Linked DNA regions of Alligator mississippiensis. The protein of the gene in region 3 purifies or fractionates together with the protein of the main gene of each other region. This does not show direct contact. Links are inferred from orthologs where the notes say so. Each region holds a gene or a part of one and is shown on either strand. Other genes may lie near its edges. The genes, in order: ARID4B, APPL1, HDAC2 and MIER2.

Region 1 (7,779 bases), about 54 Mb from region 3:
CCTATAAGTTTTCATGTTTGACTTTGGGTTTTTATCATGGAAAAAAAAATCAGAGCCAACTGTGCCTCTTTCGCTCACCAGGACGCAGGTCCAGGCCCTTTACTCCCCAGCCATAGCCTCCCCCCTGCCCTGCCGGCACCCCTCACCCCCCAGCCACAGCCCCCCTATCCCCCAGCTGCTAGGTCTACAGGGCCAGGGACCCAAGTCCCCGCAGCAATGCCTGAGCCCCAGCTGCCACCTGCAGAAATCAGCAGCTGCTATGGCAGAACAGAGTGTGGAGCCCAGGTTCCTCCTCCTCTGTGAGCGGCACAGCTGGAACAGAGCCCATGGGGGGGGGGGGGGGGGGGGAGTGTGGATTGCCCTCTGCAGGCTCAGGGCCTGCCCTGCTGCCCCCCCAACCCCGGGCCTCCATGATCCAGTGGAAACCCAGCAGGATAGAGCAAGCCAGGCAGGGAAGCTTGCTGCTGCAAGCTCTGCACCACTGTGGCGAGGCCCCTCCTGCCCACCCAGCAGCAGAGAGGGTCACAGTTCCATGCCACTGCCCCCACTGCTGCTGAGTAGGCAGGGGGGGCTCTGCCAGGGTGGTGTGGGGCCTTCAGCAGTAAGGAGCTTCCCCACCCAGCCCTGCTCTACCCTGCTGCACTGCGTCCCACCTGCTGGGCTGGAGGCCCCCAGGCACAGGGCAGCAGGATGGGCAGCTCGCACCCACTCCTTCACATACACAGATCTGGGGGCCTGTGTCCCGCATGTCCTTCCCGGGTGTGCATGTAGTGGTGGGGAGTCAGTCAGCCCTACAGTCAGACGAGCCACCCAGGGTTCTGTCCTGCTCCCTGCCCGGGCCCTGTAGCTGTGCATTCGGGCCCCAGGCCTCAAGCCCCACACACTGCCCAGCTGGGCAGTAGCTCCAGCCCCGGTCCTGCCCAACTCCCTCCCTATGGGGGCCTCAATTCCTGCCCCACCTCCACAGACTTTACCTTCCTGAGCTGCTTTCCAGGCTGCCTGGTGACCATGCGCGTGTGTGAGTGTGCACATGGCGCCCCGTGCCTGCCCTACTCCTGTTCCTTCCAGCCCCTTACAGGCCACAACTTTGCTAGCCTGCAGCAAGCACTTTTCAAAAAAAGTGGAAAATCTGCATTTTTTTCCATTTTTACATGGCAGATGGAAAACCCAATCCCTAGTGATTAGTCACCATTGTGTTTGTCCGCATTTTCTTGTTTTATACTGTTCTGCACAGTGCCAAACCCACCAGAACTCCTTACCTGTATAAACAAAGCTATGTACAATGGTATTTATTTGTGCTGTTTTCCCCCCAGAGATTGGCTTTATTCTACATGAACTATTACCATATTTCAGAGGAATACTTCCTATGAATATGCTATCACCTGGCCTGAAGCCGACACACAAGCCTTGGCTGACCCTCTGGAAATATTCGGTGAGCTAGGTACAGTTGAATTTGACCACAAAAAATATTCTTGTGCATGACTAAGCAACTCTAGTTGAAGAGAGCAATAGAGAGATCAAAAGTTCCAGCAGAAGATACAGGTCAAGCTCTGAACAGACTATTTCTGTTCAAGAGCTAGACCAGGTCTTCAGTGCTTGCACTTCCTTTCACCAGAGATGTAGTAGATAGCAATAGTCTCTTTTGAATGCAGTATTGAGGGAGAGGAAGAACATTTGCATTAAGTGGACAGATCAGAAAAACAAGGTACCAGCCCAAGAAATGCTATGCACAGTAAGGTTATGACACAGAAAATGCCGTGGCTTTCAATTAAAGAAAATCTACTCAGAACTCAATGCAACTCGAGACTGGATAGACATGTAAAATTATGTGAATTGATATGCATTTAAGTCTATGATAACAAATTTGTTAAATAGAACAGAACAGCAACAAAAAAGACTTGCCTGGTAGTTGAAGTAAGTACTTGTAAGGCTCTAAAAGAAGTCTTTTAGATGTTTGTTCCGCCTGCTCCATTTCGGTGTTAAAAAAGAAAAACAGTGCTTCACCCTGTTAAAAGGTTAAGAGTTATTGTTACAAATTCAGATTAGAGAAATTAAAGAGAGAGACAAAAAAAAAAAAAAAAAAATCAAAGTGAGAGTCAAATCATTAGCACCTGTTTAGAAAGAAGGAGAAAAAATAAGCAGGCTTCAGATACTCAGACCACATGTAAATGTTCCTTTAAAGGCAGCATTTTCAATTATCACCAGCTTTGCAATACAAAAGACTAATGGCTTTGGCATTATTAATAAAGACATAAGGAAGTCTCAAACTTTTAAAAACTGAAACCTACTTTTGAAAAGTCAAAGTTATTTTAAATTAAGGCTTATTTTTTGAGTCTACTTTAGCTTCTGTGACTTTGAAGTACCAACATTATAAATATCTCAGATAACATTAAAAGACAGCAACATGTGTGTCAAGCACCTATTTTTCATCTGGGAATTTTTTCCTGAAGTTTTTCTACTGGACAAAAGATCAGTGTCCCTTCCCACCCCCTCCTTTTTAAGAGACATTTTTTAAATAAAAAGGGAAATTATAGGGGCTTCTTGAGCTTTTTGCTTCAGTTTTTATTCTTTTCCATTTCTCTCTTTGTGCCATGTCCTGTCCTTTTAGGTTTAGCAATTTTGCTTTTTTCCCCCCTTTCTCTTCTATATCATACTCTTGGATGCGTGTGTCAGGTTCTCTTGCTGTCATTTCAGACTCAGCTTCCCTGGATAGTTCATTCTAGGACTTGTTTCCCTCAGTTCATGCCCTCCTCTCCATTTCCAGGCTGTAAGCATTTCTGTGATTTTCAGACTCCTTTCTAGAATTCATTTTCCCTCTTCTTACCTCTAACCTTTGTTGCTGCACTGCAGATAGAGCAGGTCAAAACTCACCACTTGCTTCTGTCATGGCAAGACTGGACCTGCAGTGGTGGCACGAAGTTCCGTGCCACTCCAACAGCAGTTCTTACCTGCTGGCAAGCACCTTGCAAGAAGCCATTTCCTCTGCCCTAGTAAATGCTGTCTAGTTGCTACCTTACCAGTAAAGCAGGATTATTTCTAGAGTACATTAAGAAACATCAGTACCATATATGTTTTGAGAACAGGCACATCCAGGAGACCAGTTAAAAGAAGTCTACATTGTAGAGTAGATTTAAATTCATCTTTAAGTGATTTGATAATTGAAAACTGTTTATTGCAACTGTTATTAAACTACTGTAAGTTAATATTAAAACAAGCATTAAACAACTGGAAGTTAGTTAATATCAAAAGTAGTGTTAACTCCTTAAAACCCTCCCCGCAAAAAACACAACACAAAACATATGACAGCAAGTGGGAATGGGGGAGAGAGAGAAAGAGAGAGCGTGACACCAGGGCTTGGCAAGGTTTTCCAGGCACAAAGGAGGTCTCATGCTTAGGCTAAGCTGTGGAAGAGCACGGGAGAAGTGCCTGCCTGTCCAGTTACATATAACACAGGCAATGTCAGGAGTGCCAAAGCCCCCACTCTGCAGAATGGATCCAGTAGTTGGCGACTTGCAGGCCATGGACTGCCGAACCTGGGTGCATACGGTCTTGCGCTGCCAAAATGGAATTTCGTGGGACTTTGAGAAATAAGGTACCGATCAAAGACAAGGAAGGCTACCGCAATCTCCCCCCAAAATAAGGATACAAATAGATTTAAAAAAAATAAAGTCAGAACAAAGATAACATTGGAAAAGGGACCACCGTGCTGGGACACCCTTTCGCAGCCGTTAGGCCACCTGAACCCCACAAAGAGGGCAAGCTAACGCAAGTGAAACCGGGAGGTTTCACCTGGTGGTTCAGAGCCCGAGAAGCCCCCTGACAACATCCCCCTCTAGAAGTAGGTGCCTCTTCCTTCTCGGGGCCAAGTTGGCAAGCGCTCCCCACAGCAAGCGACACCACAAGGCTGCCAGTCCTTACTCAAGGAGGGGGGATGGGGGGGTGGGTTGAAGGGCGCTCCAGCTTGCTAGCATTTGGCAAAGAGGTCTGGCCAGAGCTCCGGCCAGAGCTCCATAAACATTTCCCCAGCCTGGCCCCATTGCCACCCCCCTTTCCCCAGCCTGGCCCCTCACTCCCAACCCGCCACCCCCACGATGGGGATCCGCTGATGCTGGAACTCCACTGGGGGTCACGACCCAGTTTGGGAACTGCTGCTTGACGGCGACGCGGGCCTGACGAGTGAGATAGCAGGGGCGGGAGAGCCGCCATCTATGTCCCAGCCGGCCACCAGGCACCAACCAACACCTACCGCGCGCCCGGCCACTCCGTGCAGAACGAGACTAGCCCCCAAGTACCGCCCCGCACCCGGCGCCGCCGGACTTCAACGCGAGGAGAGGTGCCGAACCCCGGCTCCGCGGGGGGCGGAGGAGTAGGGAAGGGAAACCAGGCTCCACCCCCTTCCGCCTTCACCGCAGCAGCTGCCGCCACCATCGCCCGTTGGGGGAAAATGCGCCACCAGAGCCGCAGCGCGCAGGCGCAGGCGCGGGGCCCGCCCCCACTCCGAGCGGCGGGGCCTCGCGCGGTGCACCCTGGGCGGTGTAGTCCGTCCGCCCCGGCCCCGGCGCTCGGAGCGGCGGGGGAAGAACCGCAGCTCCCGCGAGCCTCCGCGGCACCGAGTCGGTGTTTCCATAGAACTGGGGGAAAACTGACGTCAACCTTTCCGAAGCGGCGACCAATGGCGGCGGAGGGGAGGCGGGCCCTGGCGGAGCGCGGGCCAATTGGCGGGGCGAGAGGGCGGGGCCCGCTCCGCCCGTCAGGCAGGCAGTTGGGGAGAGGGGGGAGGGGCGCTCGAGGCTTGCAGCGGAGCGTCGCGGAGTAGGCAGCGTCGTTGCGTCCGGCCGGGAGCATCGGCCCGTGTGTCGCAGAGAGCCAGCGGGGCCGGAGCCTAGGGGCGGCTGCGCTCCCTGTGCTTCCGCCCGGGCCAGGGGAGCTGCGGGCGGCCGGCGCCGAACAAAGGTAACCGGGGGGCCGGGAGCGGCCGGGGGTGGGGGAGGGGCGGGGGTTGTTTTTCTTCTCATCACCGGACTGCGGCGGGAGTTGTCCCCCCTCCCCTTTCCCGCTGCCCCTTGCGGGGAGCAATGCTGGGGCCGCCCCCCGTGCCCGGCGGGGGAGCGGGGCTCGGCTCGGCGGCGGCGGGTTGTTGTTGTGGCAAGTTTCTCCTCTGACAGAAATGGCGTCAGCGGGCAAGGGGGGCGCCGGGCGCGCGGGTGGGCCCCCTCCCCGCGCAGCAGCTGCCCGGTGCGGTGTGGCGGCGGCTTGAGCGCTTTTGTTTTGCGTTGCAGGTCCGACCTGGGCCGCGCTCGGGGGTTTTACCGCAGCCTGAGCTCATCATGAAGGTAACGCGGGGGCCGGGGGGAGGTGGGGGAGGCGGCATCCGCGTCCCCTGGTGTCCGCCCGGGCCGGGGACAATGCGGGTCCTGGCGGGAGGGGAGCGAGGACATGGCGGCCTGGGTTGCGCTGCGGAGGGAGGCGGTGGCGGCCGCAGCATCGCAGGCCCCGCTGTGGGGGGGGGCGGTGGATGAATGCCCCGCGTCCCGCTGTATGAGCCGCCCCGATTGGGGGCGGGGGGCGCGGGATACTCCGCAGTGGGGCCGGGCTGGGAGGCGCAGCAGCCGGATCATTTTTCAGGCAGCTTTTTTAGTTTCCTTTTCAGACCATTTGCCAGGCACTTTTTCTCCTTCTCCTGGCATTTGTTAGACCCTCGGTCCTCAGGCTGGCCAGGCTTCAAGGGCTGCTTAACCTCTGTCCGGATCTGGTTTTTGGTAATGAATCTGGCTTCTGAGTCCTAGTTTAACAAGTGCGATTTAGCAGGGTTTCCCCTTCTTCCTCCCCTGAGCCTCGGTGATGGCAGGGCCTCCTTTGAAAGGCTGTTATTGGCCTTGCTGTGTGGCTTAGAACATGCAATCAGGATCATGCCCCTATTGTGCTGCAATGGATCTGGCTTCCCAGCTTTCTAAAAAGCTGTCGAACGCACTTGCTGCATAACTGCAGGAAAAAGAGCCGTGGCAGACCGCTTGGCATTCACGCGCAACATATCAGCTTTGTTATTCAGCCCTGAGCGCAGTCGCCTGCTTCTAAAGAGTCATGTCCTTTCTGGGTTCTGGACAGCTCTTGTCTGTGCAGAAGCAAAATGAGTGCGGTGACATTGTGTTTGTGAAGTGCTGGAAATGGTAGACGGCATATACAGCTTCAATAACTAGGTTTAGTTAGTGATGCTAAGCACAGCAGTTAGTCTTGTCTGATTAGTTAAAGGTTCAGCACATTTCTCCTGGTGACTAATGAAAAAAGAACCTTCAAATGTACACTTGGAACTGTGCTTTCCTATGTTGTTTGGGTTTTTTTTGTGTGTGTATATTTTTTTTAACTAAGCTGAACTGATAAGTTCTGAGGTCTTGCACCAAAATGCTTATTGGATAAATTGGTTGCTTTAAGTAAGAAAAGCAATAGTCAGACTTCTGCAGTGTGATATGCAAGTTCCCAAACTGTGGTCTGTGGAGTGTTGGATCAGAACACAATGCTTGTTCGAATTGGGTTACTGAAATGGATTGAGACAAATGGAGAATTAAATTTAGAGCAGGAGGAGACAATATAGTGAGGTCTTTTTCTCAGAAGAAAAATAATTTATTTTAAAGATAGCTATATATACACACCTACTTTTTTAATGTTACTTTTTCCACATAAATGCTGCAGTTACCTTAGAGATTGGTGCTCAGATAGAGTGGTTATTGGAGTCATGTAAATGTGTAGATCTGCAATTGCTGGAGTTAAGGAAATCTAATTCTGAGTTGGAGGGTAAAGTGTGCTCTATAGTAGAGTGAGAAACCTCTCTTCTACCTCAGCTGAATACAGAGCAGATTATTACAACTTAAATATCTCTCTGTTTTATACATCCATAAAGTCTGTTTATAGATCCATATTTTTTTTTAAAACCTGCATGTTTCCTTACCCTTTAGTAAGATTTATACTACTATTGTTAAAGGAGGTTTCATTTTTTTTTTATCAAGATGGATGCTGCTAATGTTATTGAATACTGAATTTGACTCATTTGAAAATACACTCTGATTTGTTTCTGCTGATTCCTAAACTTCTAGATGTTTGGGATGAACAAAAAAACGGAGCCTAGTTTCTCTGGAAAATTTAAATTCAGACTTAAATTTGTGATTTAATCTGGGAGCTGCTAGTTGCACTGAAATTTTTTACATTTCCAGCATGAAAATGTTAAAAGCTTAAATCTTAAAAAGGATTTAAGATTTTACATCATCCACTGAATGATGCAAAATTATAAACAGCCATACAAGACACAGCTTTTAAGTTTGTAAGATTGCAGTGGGAGGGAAGTAAAAGAAGAGAATTTTCAGGTAAACAATTTTGTCTGTCTGCCCATTTCACTGTAACTGGATGGCTGATAAAAGAGAAGATATGACTTTTACATGACTTTTTTTTGTTTGTAAACAACCAGAAGTGTGTGATTCTGGGCACCTTATTATTTAAAGTATCAAGCACCAAGAGCTTATAATGAGTCCTATAATGTGGTACCTATTGCAGGGCTGGGGGCTTAAGTTGTCATTTTATACCTTAGTAGTTCTTCCTTTGGGTGCAGGGATAGTGTGTTGTACCGATTGGTGGATTAGAGGGAGGATGTGAGGTGTTCCAGGTTTTGTTCTGAGCTGTGCCATTGATTATTTATGTGACTCTTTTGAACATGTCCATTACATTTGCTGTACCTCGTTTTTCTCATCTGTGAAAAGAAGAAGGTTGGATTTTTACACTTCTGTGTAAAGG
Region 2 (7,172 bases), on a different chromosome or scaffold from region 3:
AGCTTTTCTTTAGTACTGGCTACTGCTGGCCTTTTCAAAGGTCCATATATATATATTCCTGCTCTATTTTATTTGACACACATACTTTTTTTGCATTTTGACTGGAATTACAATTTTGATTAATATTTTGTTTAATAAGGTGGGCATAGAACTCCTAAAACATTCACGATTAAAAAACAAATCTCTTCACCTGTAGGAATCATTCTAGTCAAAATCGATCCGAGTCGGGGTGTTCTATTTATAGAAGCAAAAACATTTAGGATAGGGACAGAAATGACACAAAAACCAGCACAAGAGAAGATCAGTGCATATAAACTGCTTTCAAAATAGCCAAAAATGGTTTAAGGTAAATCTGGATGGAGGTAGTATCAGATTTAACTGATTTGGATTAAATCAGTTTATTGAAATTCTGTCCTAGAATCTCCTCCAGATTCAAGTTAATTTATAGTCCCTGAGCATCCCAGGATACTTTGTATCTCCCCCATAAACCCCTCCTTGCAGAGTGGGCAGGCTAGTCTTATCCCAAACTGTCTGCTCCACCTGAGCAGGAAGGCATGCTCTAGCAGCCCCAGTCTGTGGCCCGAGCCACTTCAGCTAAGTGTAAACAGCTTAAACTAACCTGTGAAGAATTAACTGATTCAGCCTTGGGCTTTTTGACTATCTATACGTAGCCTTTAAGAGATGGGGAATTTTGTAATAGGCACATTGCATTGTTATGCCCCTTCACAACAGTTTTATGGGAGTTCCTACCAGTATACCAATCTCCAGCAGCAATCTGGTTCATCATAAGAAGGTGGGAGGTCTATTTTGAAAGTTTATGCTAGTCTTCCTCTAAACAGAAGGAATGCTTTTCTAAAATGGTATTTCTTTATACAGGTAAATTGGATACTAGCTGATTTGTAACTTGATAATGTATAGTACGAAAAAAAGTTATGGTAGGAAGGAACTCATCCTCCCTAACAGTCAAGGTGGTTGGAGAAAATAACAGAAGATATGGAGAGGAGGAATCTTAGGAAAGGGGTGAGCCTTGTAATGCCAATACAAGAAAAATGCTTTCATAGCAAAGTTATGCAAATGTTGCTACCATTGTACTGACAATAGTAATCATAGAAGTTTTGGGAAAAAGTATATTGTAGATAAGGCAAATATGTTTTGTAGCGTTATCATTAACAGGTGACTAATAGGACTTGGGTAAAAAACAAGTTAAAAAAGGGATTTCAAATTCTGTTGCGATATACAAAACAGCACTTTACTTTACAACCACAGAACCATGGTTTGATATACCAAGTTCCTAAGTTTTTGTTTTTTGTAATTTCTTTGTCAGCAAAAAATGTTTGCAGCAAACTCCCATAGCAGAATGCAAACAAGGTTTTTGAACACAGGTGTCAAATGCTGATGAAAATGATGCTGGGGTGATGGAGTTCAGTAAGATTTAAATATGTAAGCCTGAATGGGGATGATCTGTTTCTTACAAGTCTGCAATCACTACATGGTGACAACAGTTTGTTTTTCTGGTTTGGAAAACTTTTCGTGTTCCAGGTCAAATTTAGCCAGATCAGTTCCAAATCCTTTTGATTGAGCAAAACTCAATTGTCCAATCACCGTATGTGGCACTGGAACCAGCAAGTATCCTCCACCCCAGACTTTTCAGCCTGGGGCTTCAGATAATTCCAAATCCATCGGCAGGCATCCTATGTGCAGGCCCAAGTAAGCATGTAGCCAAGATCCTCCCATTGGAAGCTGGCCAGAGGAAGCTAATTACAAGACTCATAGGGTGTCCTGTCCACAGTTCATTTGGACAGAGCTACACCTTCCACTACACAATGCAATTAAAATCCATTTTGGCTTGGGTACCAGACCAGTACAGTGACTACACTTGATCTCAGCTGACAAGAGGGTGACAATGTAAGCAAGGTTCAAAACCACCTAAGACTAAATGTAGAATCCTGATGTCAGGAACCTACAACGCTTGGTGGGGGCTGGGGGGCAGGGTTGTGGGATGTCATACACATTTTCTTGGGGTTGTTTTATTGATAGGACATGTGTAACTTCTACATATATGTAAAATCAAGCTGTACTTAGCGCTGTCATTATGTCTGCCTAAACTGTAGTATTAAGATACAAATGTGATGTTGACATATTCCTATATTTTAGCCAAGAATATTTAGTAAGGCAGTGATTAACTGGAAGGACACTTCTCACTGTAGGGAAATTAAGAGACAATGGGTGCATCTACATGTTCATTAATGTACCATAGTTAGTATGTATTAAGTTTAGTACTTGTATTATCAGGTACTAAATTAACAGACAGTAACCAGTATTAATGTGCAGTAGCACACACCTTCTTAGTGATGCTACTGCGTAGTAGCCTAATAATACTGCGCAGTAGCATATTACCATTAATATGCTACTGTGCAGTCAGTGTCCCATGCAGATACACCCAGTATTGCTAGGATACTGAAATAGTAATCTTTATGTCTGAAATGATGCAACTATTCCCCTGGTTTTAATTAGATCAGGAAAGATGTTTAGTTTGGTAAACATGTACATCCTGGGGTAGGGAAATGGGGGGCTGGGTAGGAAGTAGTAGTTATATGCACGGAGTGAGTTTCCTAAGAATCCAATGGGTGATGCATGTAAAAGACCATATAAGAAACCACATTCTAACTTTACATTAACAACGAGTTTTTGTCTAAAGCTTTCTGGACATAAGGACTGCTTGAAGGTGTTTAAAAAAAAAAAACCCAAAAGGTGCTTTACTTCAAAATCCGCATGCTCCTGCACCGAGCCCAGCATATGCCCAGAAAAGGCAGCACATTGGTTGGACCCAGCTCACCCGACATCTCTATAGTTCAGGCACTTTAGTGGGGCCTTTCTGGCAGCTGGAAAGCATAGCTGTTTGCTGCAGCTTTTATTACAAAGACAGGACATAACTTCTCTGATCAGCTGCCTAGGACCACTGAGCTCCAGCTGATCAAAGAGAGCCCTTTGAAGGAAAAGGCAGTAAAGACCTGAGTATTTCACCCTTAATTCAGCAATTTACTGCATCTTCAACTGGATGTGAACCGCCTATATAGGAATAATCTGAGTTCTACTGTTTTACTATAACTTTGCTAATTGGGGGGGCGGCGGGTGTATCTAAAATAGTAATCCTAACGCAACCGTTAGTGTGGATGCAGTTATACCAGTCAAAAGGTGTGATTGCAGCACACTGGAAAGGATCCAGCTCCCACCAAAATCAAAGCGTACAGAACTACTGCGCTTACCACATTGCGGTACAGCTGGGAGACATGGATGTTTTGACTGGAGAAGCTCTACCAGAGGCAGTTTCATGCCCAGCTCCTACCAAGGCGCAGATGGGCAACACGTTCCCAAGCAGCTCCTGGAGCACAGAGAAGAAAGGGCGACTACCCACGACACTGCTTTGAGGGCCTCCTAAAGGCATACTTGATCACACCCTCACGCACCAAACTCCATTTTGAGGTCTGGGCATAAGCCAGCAGCAATGGAGCACCCAGAGAAGGCAAGATGCAGGCCTGGACGAAGAGGCACCGCCACCAGGGCAGAGACACCAACAGCTGCATTGCTGGGCGACGGCTGTGTGATTGCACGGGCACTGTGTAGGTGTGCAAGGGGTGGCGGTGACAGTGGTGGGCACAGGTGTGCAGGTGATGGGTGTCTGGGTGACCGCTACGTTGGTGAACTGGCAGCTGTGCAGATGGGAGGTGGATGCGGCGGGCACCAGCCCCGCGGATGTGCCCACAATGGCAGCGTGGGTGACAGTTGCGTAACAGGTCCGTGGGTCCGCCAGGCGCTGCCTGTGGGACGAGGGCCACATGCGTGGGCGGGTGATGGCTGTCAGCACAAACGCCTCGGAGCACGGTCCATGTTGCAACAGGGGTATTTAATGGCCGGTGCCACCCCGAGGGAAGGGCACCGCCGGGCGGGGAGGGGTTCACGGCAGCGCGCGGCCCCCTCCCCTCAGCACCCAGCGCGGGGCGCACGCAGCGGACCCAACTCCCGCCCACGGCCCGCCCCGTCCACCCGCCCGGGCCGCGCGATTGGCGGCTCCGCCAGCCAACGAGGAGCGAGGCGAGTCGATAGAGCACCCAATAGCTGCTCGACGTCGCTGCGCGACGTTGGGGCGGGGGTGGGATTTCCGGCGGGAGCTCGGGCCCGGGGCTGTGGCCCCGCGGAGGCGGCGCCGGGAGGAGCCTGTCCGCGGGGGGAGGGGCCGCGGCGGCCGCCTGGGCGCACACACCGCCCCGCCCCGTCCCGCCGCCGCCATGCCCGGCATCGACAAGCTGCCCATCGAGGAGACGCTGGAGGACAGCCCCCAGGTGAGGGGGCAGCGCGGGGCCGGGGTCGGGGTCGGGGTCGGGCGGGGCTGTGCAGCGCGGCCCGGCCCGGCCTGCAGGTGCGGTGAGGGGCGGCCGCGCAGGCCCCGCTGCTGAGGGGAAGGGAAGCGGGGGTGCCCGGCGCCACCTGCTGCGAGGCCGCGCGTTGCCGCCGCCGCCGCTCTCCGGGCGGGGCCGGGGGGCTCCTCGCCTGGCGTCGGCCCCCTCCCCAAGATTGACCTGGGGGGAGGGCGGATTTCGTGCTTGCCAAGCACGTGTCAGGGCAGCGACCCGACTGGCCGGCCCGGCGCTGAGGGCGGCGCCCGGTCACACCCATTGCTTCACTTTTTTTGGGTGGGTGGCCGTGTTTGCCATTAGCGCTTCCCTCTGTCATGGGAGTTGAGCCGGGCCTGTCCCCCCCCCCAGCCCATGTCCACTTACCACTTGCCTTTTGGGCAAGTCCAACCTTGTCCCTTTTTTTTTAGCTGCCAGTCTCCAGCCACTCATTTTATTTCGACCTTCGTGTCATACAGCAAATGTCCCAAGCTCTTGGTAGCCCAGGCATGCAGGTGTTAGTTTGGGGCCAGGGGGGTTGGTCTCTGTTGTGTCCCCTGTAGGAGGACGTGGAGGCTCTTGTTGCTTAGGGAACTCGAATGTTGCCATCCAGATCCTGCCACTATTAAAATCCTTACCTAAAAAGCTGGCAAACAAGACTTTTTTTTAAAGTAATTTCTTTAGGGTTTTTCCTTTCCTATCTGTAAACTACTGACATCAGCACATCACTATGCTGTGCTGATAACATAATATAGTGCAGCGATAACATAGGCTGACAGAGTCCCTATGTTATTTGGGAACAAAAGCAGAGAGAAGTGTGGGCTACGGAGCAGAAGTTTTCAAAGGAACTACCATCGCTAGAGCTTCGCTTAAACGGCACTTCAGTACGCTGTTGCTCATGGGGGAGCTAGAAGGAGAAATGAAGACTGAGGAGTGCTGACCACCACCGTGCTGAGAACGTTTCGTTTTAATGTGCACTGCTTAAGATTAGACCCAAGTCATATTTGAAATACAGATCTGTAAATACTCTGCAGCCTAAGATGACTAGCTTTGATCTCTTCTTCTCTTTGCTGCTTTTATGTTTTCTTATTATGTATCGTGTATATTCTTATTCTACTCAACAGCAGAATATTTTCGAAAGTATTGTTGAACAAATGTCCTATGACTGTTCTCCATACAGGGAATGAAAGCTATGGCTTCATTTTAATGTGGAGTCCTCAGTGGTACAGTCCTTGCTTGATATGCAGGAGACCCAGGTTCAGTTCCTGGGTGCTTCTACACCTACAGCCACGGAGGCACCATATGTCCAGCCTTTGGATTGTGGCCTGAAGGGGAGATGGAAGGTCTGGGCAGTCTCCACTTCCAAACTCCTATTTGGGCATGTGCTAAAAGTCTTGGTGACCTGTTGCTTGCCAAACCATTTTAATACACATAGACAGTCCCAAACTGTACCCATATGCAGAAGGCAAGGCAAAGTGGCATCTTAGAGACTGCCTTCTGCTTGACTTCATACTAGCATCACTCTAACTTGTGTGTATGGATAGGGTAGAAAATGCCATCTTCCTAGTAAGTTTATTCCATGCATTCTCTGATGCTGCCCACCTCTAAAAACCTGTTATCATTTTGATTCTATTATTTCAACATTAAACACACAATACCGTGAAGCAGAATTTAGGTTTTTATTTCCTCCCACTATTATTATTATTATTATTATTACTACTACTACTACTACTTTGATGACTACTATTACTATTCGGTTGTTATGTCAAGAATGGCATTCTTCATTCAGCAGTGGGCAATCTCTGATGATTTACAGCCTAACAGACACATACTAATGTACATAACTTTCTGATGGAAAATCCATAGTCTGTTACTGCTCTCATTTTAAATGACGGAAAACATTTTGTTCTCTTAAACTGAGGTGGGGGGAATTCCTTCCTAATTTAGGACATCAGATATCAGCCTGAAGGGTGATATTTGATGTTCTAAATTTCAGTCTTTCCTTTTATTCAGTTGCAGAATTAGTCATCTCTCAACACGATAGAAAAAACCCATTAACTTCCGTTCAAGATGGGATCCACTCATTGGTATTATGGAGAATATCAAAACCACCATGAGATTGTTACTCAGTTTAGTAAAATGGTATGCTGTGTGTTATGATTGTTTAGACATGTAACATTAGCTCTTTATTTGATGCTCTCCACAAACTTATGGTCTGCCTTTGAAAACTGTTGGACTATAGAATAACCAAAAAGACTGGGAATAAAGGCCCTGTTCAGTCAAATACCTTAATCTAGTAACATTTTTCATGTTTAAGAGGAAAAAAAAGGAGTAATTCCCACCTCCATCCAAAGCCAGATGCAGTAGTCTCTTACATTTTAAAACTAAAACATTACAAACATTAGTACTGCAATTTGAACACAGTTTTATTTAGTAGTTATTATTTCTGTATAATCTCATTTTGTTTTGTCTGTGATTGGAAAGGAAATCAGACTCTCAATACATTTAAGTTTTTACCTCCTTTGCTTTCATAATAACAGTCTCATAATGAGCAAAGTGCGATCAAGTCGTAATATTTTCTCTTCAGCCTTATAACTATAAATTCTAGCTGTTATTTATAGACTGAAACATCTTACAACCTGATTCATTTTTCAAGCTGTACATGAGTGCTACAATAGCTTTTTCCTTATTACTTGCTCACATTTGAGTATGCTGTCTTGTTAAAGGTTGTGTATTGGGTATTAGCATGAAACATGCATACACAGTTCCTTTACACCTGAA
Region 3 (7,909 bases):
CAGGAAGAGTTTTAGACACACCAGTAGATATCAACTAAGATTTAGTCTTAAAACTCAAAATACGCCACATTAAACTATAGCACTTATGAAGGCACCCCTTTTATTGTGGATTTTCTGATGTACATTCTTTACTCTGCTGCTGCTTATTTCCAGGGAAGCAAAGTGAAAATAGAAAATAAAACTAAAAAAAGAAGAGTTTACTTCTATACAGAAACTTCCATGCAGCCATAAAAGATTCTCATAAATAAAAACTAATTGTGTTTGCATGCCATGCACCAAGAGATAGTTACTAATTTATCTGCTATAGTTTAGGGTATTTTTATACTATTAATTTTTGGTTACTTAAGCTTCTGGGCATCTCCTCTCTCCTCCCAAAACAGTTAAACTTTCCCTACGGCTAAAAAACGTTATTAAGATCTATGCATTATTTGGCCATTTAAATTAACTAGCCAAAAGATACAGAACTGCTTTGATTTCTAAGAAAGCAATTTTGACCAATATCTTTTAGAAGGAAATCTGAAATAACTGCTGTCATTTGGCATTATACAAATAAATACTAGAGGCCAGATTAATTCCTTTTGGAGTGAGGATACCCAAAACAGGACTCAGTGCATCTGGTCCAAAAACTGCAATAAAAAAAAACACCCTCCTTCTCAGTGGCCACCTAACCATGAAGGTATCAGAAATCATGGGCTACCTCCCTTTTTTTGATCAGAAAATTCACTAGATACTTGCAATGGTGCTTCTGTGACCAAAACTGCCCTGCCCTGAGCAGCCAGACACCTAGGTCTTATATGCCTCATTGAGACTCAAAAACTAGACAGACTGACATTTAAGTCCTCAAAGAAGCTTGAGCAAGCAGGTTCAGAAACACTAACAGAACTGCATTCAGCACAAAACACAATGGCCACCTTCACTTTCCATGAAAAACGTGGCAACACGAGAAAAGAGGGCAGGATCACCAAATTATTATACAAAAAACGAGAGGTTAAAAGAGAACAGAAAATAGCAGATCAGGGATACAGGCCCTCACGTCTGAGGGGATTCAAATCCACACCTCCCACCACCCAGATCAGGGCCCGAAACACCAGGATATATACTAGGCTGGGTGTGGGCTTCTTTCATATGACCAATTAAAACTGAACCACTCAGCAGCAAAGATCACCAAATTCACTGCATCAGGAAAGCAAACAAGAGGGAGCAGGACTCTGCCCTAGGAGGTAGGGTAGCCCAGAAGGAAATGCTACCTTCTCCTCCTCTCTCTTCCATGACTTTTTATACATGTCACTTAAAAAAGTCACTGGACTAAAGGAGAGAGAGAAATAATGCTGAGACCAAGGACTCAAGACTCCTTCCTCTCAGGTGACAGCCTAACCTATTAGGAGATAAGAGCAGAGGTTCTCAACTGGGATGATGTGGTAGAGGAACTGCTACCACTTCAGCCAAGTGGAACTGCCTTGTATGATTTGGGCATGGCCAGATTAGAATGGGCTGCGGCACAAGCATGTGCCCCCACCTGTATTAGGATTATGTGATAAACCTATGCAGAGGTGCCTTGTCCTGCTATAGCCCTTCCTGGTCTGATCCTTGCTGGAACCATCTTAGCCACCTGTTTCCAGCAGGAGTGGCAGGGGAAGGAGGACCAGGAAGTACTGGGACAAGAGTAGACAGACACTCCTGCCTGCTTTAGACGTATTGGGTAAACCTAGTGCAGGCAGGAGTGTGCATTCCTGTCATAGCCCTCCCTGACCTGGCTCTACTCAAGGCATACCAGGAAGCTCCACCTGGCTATGGTGGCATCAGCACTCTGGTTGAGAACCACTGAGGTAAACTGAGGCACAACAGAACTGTGGTTCTCAACTAAGGTGCCACCACATTAAAACAAAAGTTACGGAAAGGTTGCTCGAATCTAACAAAAAAAAAAAGTTGAGACCCACTGCTATGAAATGACATTCCCTCTAGCGTTCTCTCCTGGCTCTATGAATATTGCATTGCTTTCTGTGTAATGGCCCAGCTTCAAAAGAAGCCCTCTAGCCTAGTAGTTAGGGCAGCCCATTAGGTAGCAGGAGATGTCTGACCCACTTGGGCTGAAGGATACATAACGCAGGTTTCCAACTTCCTAGGTGAATGCCCTAACAAGTCGGCTATTCTGTAACAGCAGGGCAGCAGCACCATCATCATCACTTCCATCAGCCACATCATGAGCAGCTTGAGCTCCCCTCAGTTCCTTGAATTTTTATAAGCACCTATCCAGGAACATGTTCAAAGCTCTGATTCCTGAGTAAACAGAGGCAACCTTGGAGCCATGGTTGTAATTTAAACTCAGAGAGAAAGACACATTCAGACACGTATGAACTTAGCATTTCATTCAGACTAACCCTAAGTGGCATCTTACTCAGCAGCAGGGTTTTTCACTTGCTCTCCCAAGGTACCTTAACCTTACATACTGTATAAAAGAGACTAAGGTCTTAATCCTGGACTTCAGATTCCACTTTCCAGACACCCAAAAAGTCAAGTTTCCAGACATTTAAAAGGCCTAGCTTATGGGCACTTATGTCTTTTATTAGATCTGGTGCTAACAAACCAGCTATTAGAAATGTTCTAATACTTTTCAGTTCCCTACTGCAAAATAAGCAATTTTTCTAAGACAGCTCAATTATAGAAGGAACACATTTGTCCAGTTTTAAATTATACTCACTCTAGCCTATGACTTCTATTCATTCCTGTCTATACATACAAGTTAATCAACCAAAAAAATCTTTCAACAATTGTTTTTTTAGCAACTTGCATCTTTCAAAACATTATAGTTTAGAAAGATTTAGGAAGAGCAATCATCATAGAGAAAGATGACCATACAGAGCCAATTAAATATGAAATAAGCAAGACAAAACAGCCACGTAAAAAAAGTCCATGGACTCACCAAGCAAATGTGTATTTTCATGTAAATCAGAAGTAGCAAAGATCAACGGGATCATAGTTCAGCATCCTGCCAGTGCAAAATTGTTCCTTACTCTAGCACTTTTTTAAAGTCTCACCAAGATAAGTTTATCTACTATGTAGGGATTCAAGCAACAGTGCTTGCAATTGTTACACTACTATAATGCCAGAAATATTCCACTCGAGCATAATAATTCTTAACCATGGGTACTATGAGATCATTTTAAGGATTCCATGCAATAACACCGCTATTACATATGCAAACACCTACACAATTCACAAGATAAACCCAGAGATTTAAAACTGGAATCCATAAGCGTCCAAACCATTTGGACTTGAGTTATTTGCAACAAAAATAATTCCTCTATTATTTTTTCCATTGTCCCAAAACAAGGGAAAGCTAAGAGCTGGTATTTCCTGAGGGGTGCCCAGAGGCTAACAGGTTTGAGAACCACTGCTCTAGCAAAAGGGTACCTAGTTTTATCAAGCAAACTTTGCTTTCCCAACATATTTTGCAAACAATTCTATTAAATTAGCTGCAGATATACAAATACAGCATACAGAGCACTTCTGAAATATCTTTTTGCCAAGATAGAACACCATTTACTCTTTTTCCAGGGAAGTCGTACCCTAGCTTCAACAAAATTCTCCCTAACAGTGGCCTCTTTCCCCCCTTATGCTGAACAAAGAACCAGAGCAAGCAACAAAGAGAAGGGGGCGGCAACCACCACTCAGCCTCACTTAGCATGTTAGAAACCCTGAAGAGGCCCCACCAGATCTGCCATTTCTGAATAGCGGCAGACATATCTGCCACACCAGCACGCATTTGGCATCACCTTGCGCTAAAGCCAAGGCTCTTAAAACCCTAAACAGTAGCTGACTAAAAAATAAGAATCGCAAAGCAGGCTCAACGTCCCCAGCACTACTGCAAACACCAGAATAGTGGCCCATCCCCAACAGCCACTCCCAGCTTCTCTGAGATTGTTTCTGGTGGAAAATTAGACATAAGCAAATCATTTGCAGCTGATCTGACCAATAAAAGTTTAGCTGTAGGGAAACGTCCCCCCCTCTCTTTCTATGGCTTGAACCAAAGATGGAGGAACTGATGCAAACATGAAATTAGATATAAATTTGAGATCATAGCTTTGGCATTGCTGATCAAATGGATCAGGAGGCGTTGCTCTCTGAACACACCGACACCCCCATCTCCCTGGCCTGAGCATGCACCCTGCCAGTACCACTCCTGCCAGCCAGTTTCATAGGCCATTTGGCGTTTCACCCGGAGCAGATGCAGATGCTACTTGGCAGGATATGTGAAGGGTTTTGGCACTGTGTTTCTAGGATAGTGAGACAAGTAAAAGTAGAGAGCGGAGCACACACTTGTGACTGGGGCTGCCTAGGGGTCTAGCCCATGGCTAGCTAGGACCTGCCTCTGGGAGCCCAAGACCCTGGGGCTCTGTCTTGAGGCATCTAGGATACAACTAAAGGGAGGGCGGTGGCGCTTGCCAGTGTGTCCCTGCCTCTGGCCTGCCTCGCACCTCTTCCTGCAGTGGTCGGGGGCTAAAAATCAGTTGTCTGGTCTAAGGTGGGATACTGGGGGCTCACTGCACCAAGACAACCTCATTCCTTTACATGAACCTAAAACAGCAGTTGAGTCTAATTAGCTGTGCCAAAGACAAAGTTAAACCCTGATAATGTGGTCCTTCATACAGGACAACGAGCTTCAGAGGGCTGGGAGGTTTGATGGGGAGAGGGAAAAATAAAAGTGATTGGCTAGGGCCAATCAAACCAGCTGCTGCTGTTAGCTAGGTGAAAACCCGGCTGGTGGAGACACACACAGAAATACACATGTGCAAGCATTCGGACACGCTTCACAAACACACTGTGCACAGACACCCGTGCTCTCAGCCCCCCACCCATTTTTGCAAATATCTAGTTGGTCTAATAAAAGATATCACCTTTGTCATGAGTTTTGATTCCTTTTGCTTCTACACCAATACGGCTACAACCTGGATACCTCACCCCCTACCCGCCCCCCCCAAGCACTCGCAGGCACATACATAGATACCCATATGCAAACACACCTTACACACATGCACACAAATACATATCCTTCTCACACAGATGTGAGACACGCATGCACGAATATGCCTAGATGCACTGGCACCCAACCCCCCTTGCACACACACACGATGCTTTCCCTCCCTCGCCCACCTTGCACACACACAACTACGCACGGACACATACTCTCTCACCCCCCACGCAGACTAGCACGCCTGCACTCTCACATACAAACGTGCACACACGCCCACCCCCCGCGTACACGCAGACACGCACAGACACCCGCGGTTTCACCCCCCCGTGAAGCAGTGAAGCGCGGCAGCAGCTCGAGCCCCTCCCCCCGGACGCGCCTATGTGGGGCAGGGCGGGGGGGGGGCACTGCTCAGCTCCCTCCCCCCCGCTCACCGTCGTAGTAGTAGCAGACTTTCTTCTTGCCGCCGCCCTGACTGTACGCCATGGGGCTGCCGCCGCGAGGCCGGGAGGAGGAGGAGGAGGGGGGACGGAAGCGTCGGCGCGCGGACGGGCGGGAGCGGGAGGAAGCGGCGACACCGGGGCCGGGGGCAGCGCAGCGACCCGACCATCCAGCGCGCGGCACGCGGGAGGGGGGGAGGGGGAGTGCCCACTCTGCACCCGCCGGGGGGGATGCGTGGAAAGGCGTTTCCTTGTCACTCCCCCACTCCCGTTAACGCATGAGGAGACTTGAGAGGGGGGAAAGGGGGACGCGAGAGAGAGTCAGGGAAAGAGCGAAGCGCCGCCGTCACTTGTGAACTCGGCGCAGAGCTCCGCCTTCCCTGCCCTCCCCCCCAGGGCGGCACGCAGTGGTACAGCCCGCGCCCTGCCCCACCCCCTCCCTAATGGGGGGGGGGGTTGAAGCGCAGGCGCGAGGCCCTCTATTGCCTCTGGCCTGCGTCACGTGGCTGGAGGGAGGGGCGGTAACGGCACGTGGCTCCGCCCCCTCCCGCGCACGCTGGGGAAGGGCGGAGCGGGTCCCCCTTGGTCCCCTCGCGGGGGGTCTACCCGCCCTGCTCCCAGGGGCGGCTGGAGGCGACGGGGCGGGCAGAGGCAGGTGAAGGGGGCGGCCAGGCTGGACCCACCAGGCCCTGAGCCTCGTCTCCCCCTGGCAATGATGGGGGGCCCACGCAGCGTGTCTCCCGGGGGCGGCCACCCACCGCCCTGCGTTTCAGTTCTTCCTACATGCCACCATGCAGCCTCGAAGAGAGCCCGGGGGCCGGGTCCAGCTGTACATCTGGGGTACGAAGTACCCTTGGGTAGGGTCACTAACCCTCCCGTATTGGCCTGATCTCTCCTTGACTGTTGAAAGCAATCTGAGAGATTTTCAGAAAATAAAAGTAATGATGCTATGTCACATTGTGGGGAGGGGTAATCTTCCAGAACAGCTTTAGTCAAGAGTTGGCAATGCTACTTCTGGGAGGGGGGCTGCAAAAATTGGGCTGCCCATCATGGTACCTGGAGATGCTTACAAGTTATGATTTTCAAATCTTACAAAGACACTCAACGCCCCCCAGCCCCCAACCTCCCCCATAATTCAAACTGTGCTGGCATCCCACCCTCGGGTGCTTCCCGTGGGTCTCGGCGTGGACCCAGGGGCAGCTGCCCACTCCTGCCACTCCAGGGCTGTGCCACTCGTGGTGCCCGCTCCAGCACACGTCTCAGAGCAGCTGCCATGTGCACCGTGACTCCGGAGCAGGCACCCACTCTGGCCTCTCCGAGACAGGCTGGTTGGACTGGGCCCCGAGCCACTCAGCTGGCCTGTTGGGCTGGATGAGCTTGACACCCCTGGATCAGCACAACCAAGGATCAGCACACGTATACATCACATGCAACTGCACCAATCAAAGTAGTGTCCCCCCCGCAGTGAATACGAAGCTGTATTGCTATAAGGGGCTTGCACAGAAGTGTGGGGAAAGTAGCTATTTGGTTTTAGAGGCATCGTCCTGGCCAATAGGGAATTGAGAAGATGGTAGGCTTCTGTAGAGTTTAGGTTATGGTTTAGATAGGGCTGATCCTGCCTCAAGCAGGGGATTGGACTAGATCAGCATTTTCAACCTGTGGGTTGTGACCCAAAAGTAGGTTGCAAGAATATATGAAAGGGTCATGAACAAATTTTAGAAACGGATTCTCCTTTAAAGGAGAAAAACATGGGAAACATGGCTTTTCCCTTGTAGGCTGGCAGAGTTCCAGGCTGCCAGGGGCTGCTTGGGATCCCCATGTCTCACATCCTTCCCCCACCCCACACTGGGGGACTAGGGCCTGGGGTGGGGGCAGCAGGTCGGAAGTGAGGGGCACTGGATTAAGACACTTCATCAACATTTACAAATGGATCCTGGTACAGAAAGGGTTGAGAACCACTGGACTAGATGACCTGTGGAGGTCCCTGCCACCCCTGCTCCTCCATGAGTCTATGGAAACCAATAGAGAACACCAGAATAAAGACAGGAGAAAGACCTGGCAACCAGATGTATCTGTGTAGTAGGAAGCATATGCTGATGGGCAAGAAATAGGATGTGGACAATATCACCTAAAGCTGGTTTAGCAATTAGAGCTAGGATGAGTACGATGTAAATGTGAAGTTGTTTTGACTGGTGTATAAAAAGGGGCTGGGGAACCCTTAATACTTTGTACTGGGCTTTGGGGTTATGTTCATGCCTGTACCATGGCTGCAAACAACCTGGCTAGCACCATGGACTGGCTGGTCATGGATGTTAGTGCATAGGTAATAACTTGGCCAAGTTTTTAGTCACTCCGACAGGATGAGTGGTGTGCCAGTCCTTTTAAGAGGAAAAGCATCGAGGGAGCTTCCAAGTGGTGAGAGGGGCTGATTAGGGACTTACTTGACTGGAAGAGGACCCGGCTTGAGCCATATAAGCCTCTGGCCTGAGCCAGTCAGGTA
Region 4 (7,893 bases), on a different chromosome or scaffold from region 3:
ATAATTGCAGCGGCGGCTCCAAAAGTGGCAGCGTTCTCTTTTAATTAGCACATATTAAGACCCGGATCTTTTGAAGAACCGAGCTGCGCTGACTCCTCGTCACAGAATGGGACTTACCACCATCCAGTAACTCATGCCAGAGTAAGATAAGAAAGTAAAGGTTAAAAATCAAAAGGAGACAAAAATCCCACCATGGATAAAGCAAAATGGATGTTCGCAGTCTCACGGGACTTTCTGACCAGGACTCGGACTCCTGCCTTCGAACAACAGTCTTAAAAACGTGCCTGCCAGGTTCCCCGAAGACTGCAGAAATAAAAATCACTGTTATTTTTACGACTGATGGCCTAGGCTACAGCAGGAGGTACCGACATACGAGTTTGAAGCATCCTTGGGTTTCTTTCCTTCATCTATGAGGAACAGCGACAACAAAAAAATGTCTGGAGTCTCCAGTGGAGCAGGCAAGGTGTATTGCAATTCGCCATCCCCCAGTGTCTGATTATAAAGCAACGATGCAGCCCCACTAGAGACCACGCTGTCGGCTTGTGGAGCCAGCCCAGAAGCTGCATGTGCTAGAAAGGAGGGGTTTATGGCAGGATAAAAGAAGAAAAGAGATGGCAAGGCTTAGGAGAGGCTTTATTTTGGAGTCATACCTAGATTTTAGCATACAATCACAGAAAATGAGGGTTGAAGGGACATCGGGAGGTCACATCTGGTCCAACCCCCTGCTCCAAGCAGGACCAGCCCCAACTAGACTATCCCAGCCAAGGCTTTGTCTAGCTGGGTCTTCAAAACCTCCAAGGATGGAGAGTCCACCACCTCTCTAGGTACCCCGTTTCAGTGCTTTAGCACGGAGGAGATGGCTTATACCCAAGAGAAGAGGAACTGTCCCTTCGTTGGGGACCAACGGGATGCAACAAAGTATAAAAATACTCTATAAATCAAGGTCTGCGGAGTAAGCAGCCCTGGCTGCATGAGGACGGCAGGGTCCAACCTCACGTTCTGCAGCCGCGAGCGACTTGCCCGATCTGTCTCCCGTTCCCTGAGGCAACAACTTGCCCGTGGACTGTACCTCCCTCACTGCGCTGTTGGGAGGCCAGCAAGGAAACGTGTCCAACACGACTCAAAGAGGAAGGCTGCTGTTGTAACTAAGGACTGAGTATAATCGTCAGGTGTGGACAAATTGATTGGGAAACATGTCAGTGAAGACCATGCAGTGAAATAAAGAGTAAAATGAGCTTATATTAATGATGCAAACCCATCATGGACACCTTCAGATCAGCGAGGATGGGGAAAGACTCAAAACTGAGAAGCAGCATGACATCAAGGGGAAAGGGAAGCTGGCCCAGGTTGAAAATCACCATGAAGACGGCAGCGATGAAGACCAATCTAAAGGTGACGGCATATTTGGACAGAGAAGGGACCAGAAGGACCAGGCAGAGCCAGCAACCTGCTCTCAGACCTCCGCTTCGACCATGTTGCACGTGAAGCACCACGATGACACATCCCATACATTAATGGGTGGCCGTGGTGAGGCCAAGCCAGGCAGGGCAAAGCGACGGGCTAGGAAGCGAGACCAGGCTGCAACGGCTCCAGAAGGGAAGAAATGTTGCGGACTGCAGTCGTCGCCATCCAACGGAAGATGATTTCTCTTGAAGGCGAAAGCTGTGGTCCGACACTTAAAATTGTACCGTCAGCTTGGCAGAAGGAAGCCAACAGCATGGCCCCGAGGTATGAAAGGCCACCTCCAGATCAAGGATGGCGTTTATCCCAGATGCAGCTGCTCCTGCCCCTGGCCACGCTGTATGCTCCGACTGCCTGCCCGACTCACAGCGGTCGTGTTGGGTTTTGAAAGCCCCCCCCGTGATGATGCTGAAAGCCGCTCTCTTGCCCACCAACCTGGCTGGCATCCGAGCCGCTTCCGACTTGCCCCAAATCGCCGCTTCTTCGGCAGAATCGAGGAACGCAACCGCCGACTAATTAATCGCTTACGCTTTTGTGTTTGCCATCTTAACAAGACTCAGGGGTCCCTGTCCCTGATTGCAAGGTCGAAAATTTTCAGGGACTCTGTTAAAAGACACAGCGACCACGGGGCTGTTTTCAAGCGGAAGGGGATTATGTGTCTGTCCAGAGCACCGGCAGAGATAACACCTCCGGCGGCCGCTACCCTGGCAGGGAAGTAGGGGAGAGCGACGGAGAGGGACGAAGAGAGGTTTCCCTTCCCATTTATTCCTCTAATCACTGTGATGATTTCTCAGGACACTTCCAGGCAGCTCATGGCTGCGCAAAGGGTCTCTCTCAACGCCGGCACATTGCAGAAGCGCTCCTCCTTGCTCCATCGCCTTGTCCACATTCCTGAAAGTTTGGGGGAAAAGAGGGCTGGTATTCCCCACGTGTCGACCAGGATCTGCGGCCCGGGCAAAGAAAGCGAGTATACGAAGCTCACTCGCTCGGTAACGTCCGCCTGGCAACTTTTGAGCACCGAGCTCATCAAAACGAACGAGGCAAAAGACCCTCTGACCCATCTTGGGCCGCGCAGCTGCGACGGGTTCACCGCGAAGTCCGGTTAGCAGGATGTCAAACGGTCCCCGGCGCCTCCTGCGCGCCTCATCACTGTACGCACACGGCTGCTGGGGGAGAGGGACGTCTCGACGCCTCGCGCTCGGAGGAACTCCTTGACGCTGCTGCGACGAAGTCCCGGGCCGACGTTTCAGCTCAGCTACGGGCGCAGCGTCCCCGCGGCTTTACCGGGGCCGGTGCGAAGGCCGAGCCGCGGTGGGAACCGGCTGCCGCTTGTTGCGGCGAATGATGTCTCGCGGCGGTGGAGACGACGGCCGGGACTGCGGCGCTCGTTTCCCCAAGCCCACGGCACAGCGAGGGTCTCACCGTGGACACGTCCCGCCATGTCCCCCGCCTGGCACCGCCGGCCGGACCCCGGGGGCTGGCGGGGGGACGGGCGGAGCGCGCCCCGCCGCGCAAGCGGGACGTCTCCTCGGCCGGACGGGGCAAAGCGGCGGCCGTGCGATGCCGGGGACCCAGCCCCCAACGCCCCCTTCCTGCCCCCCCCCCCACATCCTGCTGCCCTCGGAGACCCGTGCCCCCCCCCCCCCCCCAAAGACCCCACACCCCGGTTCCCTCCAGCCCCTGCTGCCCCCTCAGGAGACCCCAGCCCCTGCTGCCCCCTCAGGAGACCCCAGCCCCTGCTGCCCCCCAACCAATGCCCCCCTCCCCCGAGACCCCAGCCCCCCAACCAATGCTGCCCCCCCTCCCCCGAGACCCCAGCCCCTGTTTGCCCCCAACCAATGCTGCCCCCCCCGGGAGCCCCCGGCCCCTGCTCGCCGCCCCCCCAGGCAGAGGCCGGGGCAGGCCCGGCCCGGCCCCCCCCAGCACTCACCTCCGCCATGGCCGAGTGTGAGCGAGCGGGGCCGGGGGGGGGGGGCGGGAGCCCCGGATGCGGCGCGGGCCGCTCATTGGCTGCGGCGCCGGGAGGAGGGGCGGGGCCGGGGGCTGGGGGGGCTTGAGGGGGAGGGGGCTTGGGGTGTCTGGGGGTGGGGGCAGGGGAGGGGCGCCTGGGATGGGGGGCAGGGGGTTTGGGGGGCGCAAAGGAATGGGGTGCCTGGGGGTGGGGGGCTTGGGGGGCAGGGGAGGGGGTTAGGGGTGCTGAGGAGTTCTGCAGGAATGGGGAAGGGGTGGGGGGCTTGGGGGGGCAGGGAAAGGGTGGGGGGTTTGGGGGTGCCAGGGGGTGTGCGGGAATGGGGAAGGGTGGGGGGGCTGGTGGGGCAGCGAAAGGGTGGGGGGTGCCGGGGGTCTGTGGGAATAGGGGAGGTGGAAGAGGAGGGGGTTTGGGGGTGCCAGGGGGTCTGCGGGAATGGGGAAGGGGTGGGGGGCTTATGGGGTGAGGGGGCAGGGAAGGGGAGGGGGTGCCTGGGGGTGTGCAGGAATGGGGAAGGGGGGGCTTGCGAGGACAAGGCAGGGGTCTGCAGTGGGGGGGGGTCCGGCTGAGGGGCAGGGGGCAGGTCTGGGAGGGATGGGGACGGGGGGGCAGGTTGAAGGGGCAGTTTGCAGGTCCGGGGGCAGGGAATGACCCATGGCCAGGGGTCCAGGCAAGCCGGAGGCGGCGGTGGGTGGCAGCCCTTCCTGCACGCTCGAGTTGGTGAGCAGAGAGGGGTCGTTAGCCCTGCCAGTATGAAGGCAAGGCAGAGATGCACCTTACAGACTAACTAAATCAGAGGCGTATCAGCTTTGGCAGCCCTGCGCTGACTTAGGCACCTCTGATTTAGTCTATAAGGTGCATCCGTGCCCGGTCTTCTGCCCCAGGTGAATGCGCTTGGCCGGGGGGAAACGTAACAGCCTGGGTTAAACTGGGCGTCGGACGCCTGCGCTGCTGGTTCCTTGAGCTTTATGAATCTCTGAGCCCGACTCCACGAACGACAAGTCGTCCATACAGGAGGGAAGGGCCATCACGTAGGCATGAAGGGACAGCTTGCAAGGGCTGAAGCTTTGGGGTAGAGAAGAGCCAACTGGATAGCTGGCGGGAACCTGGGCCCAGCTTACGGCATCGAGGGTTTATGGCAGAGGGGCAAGTTCATACAAAATGAGAGGTCTGAGCAGATCCTCGGGTGCCGTCTGTTGGCCCAGCTGCACCTAGATTGCAAGAGAGACGCTCGGCTGGTGCAAATCATTTCTGGCTGGAAAGGCCTGAACAACATCATCTGAATTTGAGGCCTATTCTTGCAAAATGCCCCTTCATGGATTGCAAAGAGAAACCGGGAGCTCTCAGCACGTCACGGGATAGTGCCACGCTTAGGAGATGTCATTCGTGTTGTCGGAGCGTGTGCCGGGTTGGAGGCCTCTGAAAATCCCACCTGCTTCACAATGGGGTGGGATTTTCCACTTGCCTTTTGTTCGTGTCACAAGGGAAGTCTGGTGACTTCTGTCCTGTGGAATTGGCCTTTCTGTGGCAGCTAATGGAAGGCCACAGGGAAACCCCCGATTAAGAGCTGAATCTGGCACCGGGTTTGAAAATCTGGATCGTTCTGGGAGCTACAGTCATCCTTTAAGTCTCCAAATTCACCTCTGGTGCAACTCCACCCATTTTGGCCTGTGGACTTGAGTAACATTTGGGCTAATGTTTTTATTCAAACTCTGAAACAAATCTGCCCATCTCATAGCGTCAGCGAGACTATTAAGGGGATAGATAGTAAGGTATTGGGTAATGGGCATGAGAAATATTATTTTTTTAGATATTGCAGCACTCCTGTTCATAGACCCGGAGAGAAAAAAGGGCAGCTTGTCTGCAATTTTTGTGTGCACCTATGCAAGTAAATTCATCCTGATGCGGTGAATGAGGAATTTAGCATTTTGCAGGCATGGTACAGATGTAACTGCGTGTTAGAAGGTGTCACCGCCTCTGCTCAAACTCCGTTTTGACTCAGCACCTCGTACAAGTTAAGGTCTTGTCTGCACAAGAAAGTGCTCCCGTTTAGCTAAGTTAATTTGTAAAGTGGTTTAGTTAAACCGCTCCCACCCTCTTCTGATAGCCACTTATTCTAGGTGAAGAGTCTGACTCGGTCCTATACCTCCCCAGTTTCAGCCCAATCCATACAACCCCCTCTTGAACAGATTGAAGGGGTTGCCACGCAAACAGGTTGTCCTGATTTAACTCAGTTGGTTTCTAAACTGATTTAATGACGTGTAGATGCACCTTTCTCATGGAGGCAAGTAGTAACGTTGTCAAAGGCATCTTCACTGAGAAGCCTGAATCCAGTTTTTTAAAGGTCTGGGGAAATGATTGTGTTTGAGTCCACCAAAAGTTGAGTACAGAGGCTGCAGAGCAGTTCTGGGTGGCAGAAGGGGACGTGCTGGTTGATGGCTTCTTGTGGTGGCCATGCCAGTAACCTGCAAAGGATGTGGTTATAGAAGCTGTTATGTGGATTTTCTACAGCAAAACCCTCCTTGCAATCAGCTCTTGTTTAATCCCACCTGTCTCCAAGGCTTTTCCTAACCAATGGTCCCTGCAAGGGGACCCTTGTATCCCTCTGTGACTCACCATCGCAGTCAGAGAGCCAATTGTTTCTCCGTGTACAGGGCGCGCTAATGAGGAGCCCGCGCTGCTGGGGAGCAGCAGTGGAGCCGTATTTGGACTCGGAGCTGTATTTCCTACCAGACCTCTCTATTTGATGATGGCTAGTGAAGCGGTTCTGTACAGCTTAATTTCTCCAGAGGGTAGGTCCAGGTTTGCCACTAACAATAAAGATTCAGCCGTTGAGATGCGCTTTATTAGCATTCAGTCATTACGGGAAGATTTCCTACCCCGCGGCCCGGCAATTTGCTTCGCCTTCGTTTTCACTTATGCATTTGAGCTTGGGAAGCAAAGTGCTATCAAGTGTTTCTGAAGTGATGGCGACCGCCCTTGAGCAAGGAACCAGCCCGCTTCAGCAGACCGTTATCCCGTGGCACAGCAGGTCCGTCTGGTCCTACTCGAACGGCTTCGACAGCTCACAGACAGTGTTTATTCGATACAAGAGGAACCCCAACCGTCTTGCTTTCAGACATATTTCTTATATTTCATAAGAAATATTTCTTATATTCTTCTATATCTGCAAGAACTACTACTGTCTCTCCCTCCTGACCACATTATGTGCCTGGGCTTTTATGGCAGCAAAAGCGGGAGGGGTCTGGAATTTGGATCGGGAATACGGCTGGATGAACAAGTCCACCTTTTCCTGTTAGCGATGTACCTGTGAATGGACTGGCTAATTTGTTTGCTATTCCCAATGACTTGACACATGGTTCATACCAATTTATTCAATCATTTCTCCACAGACCTTCACTTTTGTCCCGTGACCGACTGACACGGACACACGCAAAGAGCACGTGAGTGGGCCGCGCATCAGGATGGGCTGCGAGCACACGTATAAGCCCATGTTCACCCATTGACATCTCTTCTTCTCATCCCCGCAAACTCAAATTTACCAGCAAGGGCATGAGGGGTAGCTACGACTAGAGCAAATTCATAATGATTATTCATGTTCATACTTGGTTGCAGCATTTGTCTGATTTTACCCCAGCATACGGCTGCTCAGAGATATGCATGTTTTGCTGACTCCGAAGCAATGCTTATGACAGTTTTAATGACAGCAATGGCAATCGTTGGCCCATCTCTTGCTCATAGGAGGAGAGGATGGGAAGCTTTTCAACAGACTGACCCAGTCTGCCGGTCTGCCATCAGGATCATCGTCTACCCTCCTATCCTTCAACCAAACCCCAGCCACACTAATGGGTTCCACGCAGACGACCCAGCCACAGGTCACAGATCTACATTAAAGAACATTTAATTTGCAAGCAACAGCATTTGCAGAGAACAGCACGTGATGATTTAGAGATGCTTCGTTCTCAGCCTCCGAGGAGTACTAAGCTCCAAAAGCCGGGGACTGGCTTGTGCGTGCTGGGCAGCGCCGGACACCTTGTAAGGGTTGTAGCCCTCGAAGACATGTTTTCGGACTCTTGGGTGGGCAAGCTTAGAGACCCTTGCAGATGCCATGGCATTCTTGGCTCCTGCAGACACAGGCCATGGGACTAGCTTTTCGTGGCGGTAGCTTGGATGTTCCATTTTTGGCTCTACAAGGAACAAATCATGGGGTAGAGAAAGAAACGGCTTGTTAAAAGGACTCTGAGATTCAGTATTGCGAAAGGTCCCAAGGCTTGCTTTCTTCCATGGGAATATATTTTTGGGTAGGATCTCACAGCTCTCAATCATTACACTTCGCAATGCCCTGGAGAGATGGGTATTTGGGAGAAACAAGCACGGGGAAGGTGAAACATCTTGCTAGGATTCGACTCTAGAATTTGATTCTAGTATTCAGGTCTTCCGACCCCCACACCGGTGCTGGGTTC

The links.
Region 1: the proteins of HDAC2 (region 3) and ARID4B purify together in Homo sapiens (affinity purification with mass spectrometry; 4 studies listed by BioGRID and IntAct, with this or other methods). This does not show direct contact. The link is inferred for Alligator mississippiensis from reciprocal best matches to the Homo sapiens genes HDAC2 and ARID4B.
Region 2: the proteins of HDAC2 (region 3) and APPL1 purify together in Homo sapiens (co-immunoprecipitation; 3 studies listed by BioGRID and IntAct, with this or other methods). This does not show direct contact. The link is inferred for Alligator mississippiensis from reciprocal best matches to the Homo sapiens genes HDAC2 and APPL1.
Region 4: the proteins of HDAC2 (region 3) and MIER2 purify together in Homo sapiens (affinity purification with mass spectrometry; 3 studies listed by BioGRID and IntAct, counting the BioPlex papers as one, with this or other methods). This does not show direct contact. The link is inferred for Alligator mississippiensis from reciprocal best matches to the Homo sapiens genes HDAC2 and MIER2.

The regions. Positions count from the first base shown.
Region 1 is NC_081824.1:153,085,655-153,093,433, reverse strand, and holds the start of ARID4B (AT-rich interactive domain-containing protein 4B), read left to right. Parts: upstream 1-4,778; 5' UTR 4,779-4,953; intron 4,954-5,279; 5' UTR 5,280-5,327; coding exon 5,328-5,333; intron 5,334-7,779. Other genes in the region: GGPS1 (geranylgeranyl pyrophosphate synthase), read right to left, coding at 1,903-2,005, 4,303-4,428. UniProt on the Homo sapiens protein: Acts as a transcriptional repressor. May function in the assembly and/or enzymatic activity of the Sin3A corepressor complex or in mediating interactions between the complex and other regulatory complexes.
Region 2 is NC_081835.1:21,255,436-21,262,607, reverse strand, and holds the start of APPL1 (DCC-interacting protein 13-alpha), read left to right. Parts: upstream 1-4,163; 5' UTR 4,164-4,286; coding exon 4,287-4,340; intron 4,341-7,172. UniProt on the Homo sapiens protein: Multifunctional adapter protein that binds to various membrane receptors, nuclear factors and signaling proteins to regulate many processes, such as cell proliferation, immune response, endosomal trafficking and cell metabolism.
Region 3 is NC_081824.1:99,432,504-99,440,412, forward strand, and holds the start of HDAC2 (histone deacetylase 2), read right to left. Parts: upstream 3,004-7,909; 5' UTR 2,976-3,003; coding exon 2,921-2,975; intron 1-2,920. UniProt on the Homo sapiens protein: Histone deacetylase that catalyzes the deacetylation of lysine residues on the N-terminal part of the core histones (H2A, H2B, H3 and H4).
Region 4 is NC_081839.1:3,693,418-3,701,310, reverse strand, and holds the start of MIER2 (mesoderm induction early response protein 2), read right to left. Parts: upstream 3,009-7,893; 5' UTR 1-3,008. Other genes in the region: SPMAP2 (testicular haploid expressed gene protein), read right to left, coding at 7,376-7,617. UniProt on the Homo sapiens protein: Transcriptional repressor.